Linked DNA regions of Drosophila melanogaster. The protein of the gene in region 2 interacts with the protein of the main gene of each other region in a pairwise test. Each region holds a gene or a part of one and is shown on either strand. Other genes may lie near its edges.

What was found.
Region 1: the proteins of tup (region 2) and abd-A interact in a protein complementation assay, tested with the Drosophila melanogaster proteins (2 studies listed by BioGRID).

Annotation. Positions count from the first base shown.
Region 1 is NT_033777.3:16,825,060-16,830,058, forward strand, and holds the start of abd-A (abdominal A), read right to left. Parts: upstream 3,047-4,999; 5' UTR 2,945-3,046; coding exon 2,076-2,944; intron 1,249-2,075; coding exon 992-1,248; intron 1-991. UniProt on the Drosophila melanogaster protein: Sequence-specific transcription factor which is part of a developmental regulatory system that provides cells with specific positional identities on the anterior-posterior axis. Required for segmental identity of the second through eighth abdominal segments.
Region 2 is NT_033779.5:18,878,247-18,883,136, forward strand, and holds the start of tup (tailup), read right to left. Parts: upstream 3,016-4,890; 5' UTR 2,550-3,015; coding exon 2,411-2,549; intron 1-2,410.

The DNA.
Region 1 (4,999 bases), on a different chromosome or scaffold from region 2:
GATATGTGGATTTTGTATGCGCGGGGCACATCGCAGTGTTTTTTGGTCGGCATTTTGGGCTATACGTTTGTCGGTGTGGGGCAACCTTGAGGCTATTTAAATTACAAATCGACGCCAAATAACACGACAGACAAGAGAAGCATTTCTCAAACTATTTTCATTTTTATTTACTGCCAACTTTTTAGCTCTTCGTTCATTTCGTTTACGGATTCGAATCGCCTGGAAGACTTATGCGAAATAAACGACTTGGAAGTGCTCCGCAAAGTGTTCATTACGAATTGGAATTGTAGGCGAAATGGCGGTGCAAATGGGAATGCTATTGGGGAACGTTTGCGCCACGTTTATCTATTGTTTATAAAAGGTACGCAGCAACCATTCCAAATACTACACTTGGGAAATTTAATTCGATAATTCGACTGGACGCTTTTTGTTAGGTCATACAATTTGTAAATCAGTTCGAACCTGGTTTAAGTCTACGGGTTGTTAAACAACTTAGCTGTTTAAATTTTTTAATTATAGTATTTAACCTAACATAGCGACTAAATAATTCAATCCAATATAAGTTCTTACAATTTTTTATTTGATTTTTTGATTTCAGTGTAAGTGGCCATGATTTATATGTACACAAAAAATTTTAAGAGATCGCTTTGTAGATCTTGAAGGCAATTTATTCTTGATTTAAGACGATATACATTCCCTGAAGTGCACGGATTATTTCTGATTTTATAATGATTGGCATGATATATAGAACACAGTAGATACGATAGACAGACTCTTAATTTAAAAGACTGATTGATTGGCTCAGTGTGATAAACTTGTATTGGGATATGTGTGATTCTCAATTCTAAAAATCGGATAACTTTCAAGATTTATCAAATTTGGCACTCACATTCAGATCCGAAGTCTTTCACAAAGAGTCCGAATCTGGCAGTTATTTTTTTACTTATGTATAATATATCTCCGCACTATCGAGTATCGAGTTTTGACTCACCTGTAAGCGTCATCCAGGGATACCTGGGCAGATCGGCGATACCGGCTCCGCCCGCTCCCCCTGCCCCTGGCATCACGCCGGAGGCGGGCTGTGTGCAGGCATTTCCCAGCGAGTCCACGCCGATCGCGCCGGCACTGGCCGCGGATACCGCGGATGCGGCGGCTGTGGCATGTTGATAGAACTGAGCGAACTGTGCAGATGCCGAGGCAGGTACGCTCATCGACTGGTAGCTGTTCATGACAGTGTCCGTGTACCTGCTGTGGGTGTGGGAGAGAGAAAGTAGCCATTATTGTTGGTGATCCCTGCTCTCATAGTACGTTCCCAACTCCAGCGCCCGTACTAAAGTCAAATGCTAATGAGGTGGCCATTTGCATGCCCCTTTCACCAAACTGCGGTTAGCTCTAATTGCACACTAATCCCGAACACGCCCACGCACAGCAGGGTTCACTGTACATGCACATGGAGTGCCCATACAGTAGTACTAATATGCAAATGGCCGCAGCGGAAGGTCAGCGTGCGTGCGAATCTTGTGGCCGGCGACAAATTGCCAGCGGCCACCACAGGCTGCTCTAATTTTCCGACTTTATGGCCATTCAATATGAATGGCCGGTGGCCGAGAGGAAAATGGACAGAGTCCCAGGATCCGAGACCCGATAATTAGAGCGCATTCGAAACGGATTTGCGGTTTTGCAGTGTTTGCAGATTTTACTGAAGGTCTCGACTGGCATTTCCGCTCGCCAAATTGAGAGCACGCGAAATTAGTTCTTGGAAGAGCTGAGTGTTTCTTTTTTTTTGTATTTTCAACCCCGGAAACATCTTCTTAAAGGTTTTGAAGCCAGGTAAAGCTAATGGTCATACTAAATTTGCATATATTTTAAAATATGATACTGTCTGAGAAGTTCTATCAATGCACTCCAAATATTTGAATATCATATTAGATAGTATAGATCATTTGTCATTGACTTTATATTTGCACTTCCTATTAGGGTCATTTAAGATCATTTTACTACGATTGGACATAAAACCCATCCCGATTTATAAAAATCTGCATTATCCCATACTTAAACAGGGCAATCTATCTTACCTGCACGACTTATCCTCCAGTCCGGTGAAGCCGGCCATTCCGGAGAGCCCTCCATGGCTGCTAGGGTGGTTAGACACGTACGGATACATCTTGCTGGTGGGGATGGCAAACGAGGAGCTAGCCGCAGCGGCGGCGGCGGCTGCAGCAGCAGCGACGGAACTGGCCGCGGATGCGGAGGCGGACGCGGATGCGGACCCGGGAGAGTTGTCGTTGAGGCTGCGGTGTAGCGAGGAGCTACCGGATGCCGAGGGCGATGGGGAGCAGCTGCTGTCGCCCGCTTGAGAATTGCCCGCTGACGGGGGCGTTAGCAACAGTTGCTGGTGGGCGTGTCCGTGCGAGGCAACTGCGGCGGCGGCTAGTTTGCTAATGTGGTGTTGTTGCTGCTGTAGCTGAAGAGCGGCCGAGAGCGAGGAGTATTGGTGGTGGTGTTGCTGCTGCTGGTGGTGCAGATGTTGCTGCTGCTGGTGGTTCAGGTGTTGCTGCTGCACCTGTGGGTGGTGCTGCTGGAAGGGCGACGATGAGGAGACGGGTGAGTGGGGCGATTGGCCCAGATGTTGGCTCAAATGGCTCGGCGATAGGGATCCTCCGCTCAAATTGAGATTACTGTTGTTGTTGCTGCTGCTGCTTGGACTGCTGCTGCTATTGTTGGTGTTGCTTGTGTTGCTTCCAGCGATCGTGTTGCTGCTGTTGTTGTTGCTGCTGCTGCTGGCTGAAACGCTGGCGGATGCAGAGGCGGCGGCGGCGGCTAGGGCGGCGGCAACTGCTGCAGATGACGAATTCGGGGGGGTGGTGGTTAAGTGGTGCGAACTGATAAACGGCTGGAACTGTGGATACTTTGGCAGCATACTATCGAAAACAAATTTTGACATTGCACATATTTTGCTCTCTGGCCGAGGATCGGATCTTCGGAATTTCGTTTAGTCCACTTGTTGTTCTATTTTAGTTTCGGAGATTTCTGAGTTCGAATGATTTGGGTTCTTTATCTGAGTCGTTTGGTTAATGGCTAGATTGAGTATTTCGTTTTATAATTTAAAGTTTCCTCTTTGTGTGACTTTAACAAATTTTGTTTGAATTCAGCGTGGAGAGGAGCGCTTTCTAGCCATAATAAAACAAAAGTTCCGACTACTTCTGTAAGCACAACCTAAATCTTAAACTTGAATGACTTTATAATTCAACACTGTGAGAAATAGCATTTTAAAAATATCTTTTTCTTTAACTTTTTCATAAGATTTACACAGCAATTTAATTTGTATCAATGTCTATTAAAATTTACTTGTCTTTAATGAACATCTCCCGTCTCTGTATTTAACTTTTCTACTTCATAATCGAATGCAAACTACATTGGACTTAGTATATAAATCACTAACAAAATTAATCGAATTAAAAGGTACTAAAAACAAAAATAAACTTGGCGTCCAATGTGATAAACAAGAATTAAAAATGGCAAAACAAAAAATATAACATGTTTATAAAAATTACTCGGAAACCATAAAAAGAACATTAACCAAATTGAATATGTTTGGATTGAACATAAATCTTTCGGGTAGCATGATACAGAACTCAAGTGAAAAAAATATATAATCCAAATGCTTTATATATTTTTCAGCTAGATTTCCCTGCCAGTGCCAACGAGTTAGTATGTGGGTTACTTTTACAGTACTATATGAGATGGCCAACAGTTAGTACTTTTTAGATAGAGTTAGTGAGACAGAATTCGGAAACTTTGCCAGCTGCCCGACTTTAAGCTACTTTTCTCGATTCCGAGAAGTGAAATGCATTTTGTTACCTTTCTCAAGTTTTCTCTAGCGAACTTTTGGCGAGCAGCTTGTATTTGCAGCTTTTCTGTTTCTGTTACTTTTTTCGCTCGAAGCTGGCGAATTCACAACGAAATTTGTTAAATTTGCATATGGTCTCGGGTTGCGTTGTATTTGCAGCTGTGGCACAAGTGTGTGTGTCGCATGTGTGTGTTTGGGGTGTGTGTATCTTTTATTTGTTGTAAAAGCAATTAAAATGCGGTCATCAATTACGCGGAAATTCGAATGGACGTCGTGCCGGCGGGATTTCGTACGTGTGATTTATAGGCGCGCGATCTTTTTTAATGGCACTCTTGTATTTTTATGGCAGAGTGAGTTTCCTGCGGCTTTTAACGACTTCTCAAGTGCGTGAGTGTGTGTGTGGCCGGAGAAATGCTTTCTCCCAACGTTTTGCTTTAATTACTTTGTTTAAAATGTCATAAAACACTTTGCAGGTAGAACTATCGAAGTCTGGAACGGAGAGGCGAGAACCTTTTTACGATGTCAACTTTATGTCTTTTTAATTTTTACGAACCGCACACAGTGAGTTATAAACCATAGTGTTTTGACAGTTTTTTCGGTTTTAAATTTCACACACAATTTTATTATATTTTACGCGATCTATAACATTTAAGTGACAATAAGCCGGCGGCCGAAACGGAACAATAAACACGGCGAATCGGAAACTGAATCGTATTGCCGCACTACAGTCGTATAGTCGTATAATCGTATAATCCGAATCGGAATCGGAGGGCCGAAATTCCAAAGAGTGGAGAGCTGAGTTCCGCAGACACTACTGCGCGCCACGATAATAAATATTATAATAAAACGAAATTTTTAAAAGAGTATAAAAATTTCGTGTAATTGGTAATTCTTGCTGCCAGCGCGGGCAGCGGCGTCGACAGAAACGGCGGCAGAGCGGCAGCGACTGAGGCGCTTTGAGTCGTTGGAGACTTTGAGTTTTGTCTGTCTACGGAGGGGGTTTTCCTTTATATTTTTTGTTTTCTATTTTTTTTTTTTTGGGGAGACCGCTTTACGCGCGAGAAGAGAAGCGAAAGCAAAGCCGCTGCGAAACGTCGAGCGTTGTGGCGTTACGAGCAGCGAAACGTTTATGGCGCAATACAAAAGCCA
Region 2 (4,890 bases):
TCCGTGCCACCCCCGCTTCGCATTTTATTCAAATTTTTGGCTAATTGGTTAACTATAAAAATAAAAATCGCTTGGCTTTTATGGCCGCAAATAATTGTCAATTTTTGATGGTCTTCAACATAAAGTGGTACAATTTTATGGCAGCCGCCAACATGAAAAACCGAAACTAGTTCAACGCCCTGATGTATGCAGCGATCTCGGACTTACATAATTTTCTATAGAGCACGGAGAGTAAACAAAGGCTCTTCAGATACTTCAGATGGCGATTTCTTTTTGTTTTTACTATATTTAATTAATTTAACGACTACTTGAGAAGTTGCCAACGACATGTTGACTGGAGGCCTGGGTCTGTGACATGGAAAACTCATTAAAATGTTTACAGCGCTCAAAAATCAACAAACAAACAAAACTCGCCTCGGAACCAAGCGAACTAACAAAAGAGAGTGGAGCTGGCTGATACTAGAGGGGGGGGGGACGAAACGAAAACTACAAAAATTGTTTTCATTTCAAATATCAACTTGAAGCTGGAAAACTCTAACTTAAAGTTTTGTCAGCCGCCAACTAACTCACAGAGCAACTAAGCAGAGCGATGGGGAGGAAACTTTGTGAAAAGTTTTCAAATTAAAATGTTCGGACATTAAATATTTACCAGCGCTCCATGGCCGACAACTAATTTGAATTTAAATTACAATTACTAAAATTCAATGCAATTTAAATGATTCGCAGCTACAACTGCATGTGCTGCATTATTCCAGCCTCATATATAATTCAATTTCCCCGAACCCATTGTATGTAGTATATGTGCTTATGATTATGATTTTTCATGTTTTCCTTTTTTTTTCGGAATTTTTGTTTGGCTTTTTTGTGTTCTGCGGTCGTTCGTTTGGTTAGACAACTGTCAGCCAAAACATTTGTCACAATTTAGCATACGAAATAAAATTTGAATAAAATATATTCCTCTTTCTGTCACACACGGATGGCATTTTTTAATGACACTCTTGGTTTATGAATTCATAAAATGCATTTTGGTTAACAAACTTTAGGCTAGTTAAAAATTTGTCACATTATCGCATGAGATACATTTGTGATACATTTCCAGCTCTTTTCAGCTTTTTTCATGCAATTGCTTGCCCGCTTTGCTTGCGCGCTTAATTGCTCAGCATTAAAATGTCATTCAACCGTTAATTGGCTTCTATATAATATGTAAAGTGTGCTTAAAATAAAATACGGCTATAATTTAACAGTTATTGCCGTACTGAAACAACAAGTGACAGGTCGAGATAGGGTCTAAGCCCATTACAAAAGCTGCAGCGACAAGTCGGCTAACGACTGTGGCCCGAAAGAAATCCCGAACCTAAAGATAGAACCTCAGAAAGTCGTTCAATATACAAAAAAAAAGATCCTCCAATTTGACAAAAGAATGGCACAATAAAAATTATTTATGGATTCGTATTTTCTTGGTATCACTTTAATTTGTTTGTAATTACTTTAGCGCAGCCTTGCTCACATCACATCCATTGGCAAAATTAAAAACTCAAGGTATGAAAGAGTTCAACGCGTGCCTGAACTTTTTAATGATTTTGGTATAAAAATAACTTCGACCTTCGTTACAAATAAACTTGACTAACAGTTCATGGTTTTAAAGCTCGGAACCTTTGAGTCCGAGCCTTGATCTCTGATATCTGGAATTTAAAATGGTGGGCATTAAAATGTTTCAAAAATAAGCAAGACAAGTTTACAACTGTGATTTGGGTGCGAGCATTTGTTAACACGGCTTTTTACTTATTTTATTGGCTTTTAATGTCCAAAGCGGGCTTTCCTCGTTCATTTTCCATATTTACGAATCGAGAAAGTTACCCATCAGTGGCTCTTGTTTAATGACTATTTAATTTGCCAATTTTTGTTTGGGGACTAGGACAATAGCCATAAATAAGTCATTAACTGCTTTAAATAGCTTTATTAGCGGCAAATGATTCGACACTGATGCGTGATCTATGTAATGATGTTTCAATTGCAGGTATACAATTTCTGAATAGGTTGATTTAAAATGCAATTTAATCTTGGTTTACAGTGGATCAACAAAGCGCTTTTTTAGACTAAACCCCTATTAGCCTCTAAGTTATTTGTCAGGACATTTATTTAAATCCAAATTTTAAATCTAAGGGAACTAAGGAAAAAAACTGTAATGCCTTCTTAAACAGACCGAAAGTACTTAGAACCAACAAATGTATCTAGAAGATACAATAGCCTCATATCCAAACTGTGGAAGGGCATTCCATTGTTCTTTTTTTAAGACTGTCCCTAGGTAAGTGATCGTGCTATCTCCAGTATTAAATATCGTCCTTTTCAAGGATGCAGCCCAAATAGCCCGAAATCGGAAAGCCAGCAGCCCTTGAATATCGGTACTCACTTATCACATCGTGTCCATGGCAATCCAAATCCAGGTGATGGTTCATCACCAGCGATGGCTGTAATCCAGTTTGATTGTGGTTGTGATTGTGCAACGGTAGCTGGTGAGCCAAATGGCCACCAATCTCTGCCATTACCATATATTTGGCTGACAGGACACTCGGCGAAGCACACTCGAGATATTTGTGGGCTGGGAATCTTGAGAGCGGGCGCCTTTTCGTTTTGGGCCGTACTCAAGAAGTTTCCGGCATTGAGCAGGGATATTTGTGTAAGGCACTTGTACTGGTTTACTTATTCCGTGAAGTTTGCTTGAATTACTCAATATGAGACCGGGACACAGAGCACTGGGTTTTCGGCGAATTTAGCGGGATTATCACGGCTGTGTGATCCGTGTGCGCACACGCGTTTTGTTCGCAGGGATTTGGATCTATGGTGAGGGATTTAAGAGTCTCTCGCATCCGAAAAGGCAAATCCGACGGCTATCGAGCTAAGACGGTCGATGTTCGCGATACGACGGCTATATAGTAGCGATGACGACAACCGACCAACGACGATGTCTGGCGCACAAACATGCTCACTGCACGGAGACTGCTGAACGACTAAACCGGTCGGCGCTTCGTTCCGTTTGCCGTACGTTATCCGCACGCCAGGGAGCCAGCGAGCTAGCGAGCCAGCCAGCCACTCACCCCGAAATGTATCTCGCAGATACATTCTGCCTGCGAGAGCAGTGCGACTAGCTCGTCGCTCCGCAAGGGTAGGGAACTGGTGTGGCACTGGTGCAGCTGCAACCGGTTCCGAGCCAGTTCTGCGTGTACTTCTCGGATAGCCGATAGCGGATAGCCGACTCGATGGACTGACGGCCTGCAGGGGGGGGGGAGTTCGAAACAGGAACAGGTGTTTTTGTCGCACTCGCTCTGCGGGCAGCGCTCTCACGCTCCGTCCTTTTCTGGCAGCAAGCCCATCTCTTTCGCTTCCACTTGGTGGGCCTTTTCTAAATGGCGGCGAAGCGGGCCAATCGGTTGGACGGAGTGCGCATGACCGACTCCAGCTGTGGCTGCGGGATCCACAATCCACAAATGGAGGCAGTCAGGAGGTGGGCCCACATCCTCGCTCCCTTCGCTGGCCTTTTGTTTTGCCAATTTCGCTTTTGGTTTTCGAAGTTTGTACTACAAAATGGTTGCACTTGTAAGCAAGCGCACCCCCCTGGCCAACCCTACCCCACTCTTCATCCGTCGTCTGTCTTTCTACCCCCGAACTGTTGTAATGCGCTTGTCGAACTTTTCGGCTGTAGCCCCTCCGCTTTTGGGGCTCCCCTTTTCGCCCCTTTCCGCCCCCCTTGTCTCACCTGCCCGTCTTGACTTGGCTCTGCGGTCTGAAGGCGTCTCGTTTCGGGTGTGCTGCAACATCATAATAATTATTGATCTTTTGATTTCGTCTTCTGGTCTTTTGGGGAGCGCTCCAATCTCCACCCCCTCCCCCCCTGTTGCTCTGTTGCTCCTTCAAGGCCCTGTTGCAATTTTAATGACGCCCCCGTACGGCAATTTATATATGTGTTCGAGTGGGTGGCGGTCGGTGTCTGTGTTGCGGTTAGCAGTTCGTTGACTTGGCACCCAGTTGCCAACATTTGCTGGCCGATGATTTGTTGTAATGTCAGTTACCAGTTACCATCACCGACTCTTGGGGTGCACTCGAAGAAAAGCTTGTTTAAGCAATTTTGAAGAATGCTTATCTGTAGGCCAGGAAGAAGTTTAAGATGAGTTGTGGTGGTAAATTATTTTACTTAAATGTGCACATTTCTAAATTATATAGAATATGTGATAGAGATACAATCTAGTTTTATAATATTTTAAGTTTAACATCATAAACATATTGTGTTACTGTACAATTTAGTTAGATTTCCTTATTATTTTTTCGAGTGTCTGTAGCCTCTGACTACTTTTTTGCCATTTTTATTTGACGTAGGGTATTTTGAAGGAGTGGCCCTGCTGCGAACAGGGCTGCTTGTGGGTCTGGTAGAGTTTGAGCTGGTTTGGGGGGTGGTGGCGCTGCTGCTGTGTTGTATAATCAAGGTCATCGAGCTACAGTTTCAGTGGCCCGCTTGCTCCGTTTGGGGCACTCATTCATAGCCGTGTCTCAGTTAGCCAGACGCCGACATTAGTACATACTTGTTACAGCGAGCCACCCCCTTGCTACCATCCAACACCATCCTCTGCCACCCCCAACAGTACCCCAACCACCCCCGAATTGCGAGGCTTTCGCGCCATCTCCTTCGCACTCGAACGACAGCTGGCCAGCAGAAAACAGCTGACTGATGTCTGTGTGTTCGCCTGCGAGGGTGTGTGTGCCGGCGTATCTGTGTGCGGGGCAACTAGGCAGCTGGATGAGTGTGCGTTTGCTGGCAACATGAATTCAAAATTTAATTAGGTCCCGTCCATTAATTGGGTTAATTGAAATGCCGGTAAAAGTCAACGCTTACGAATT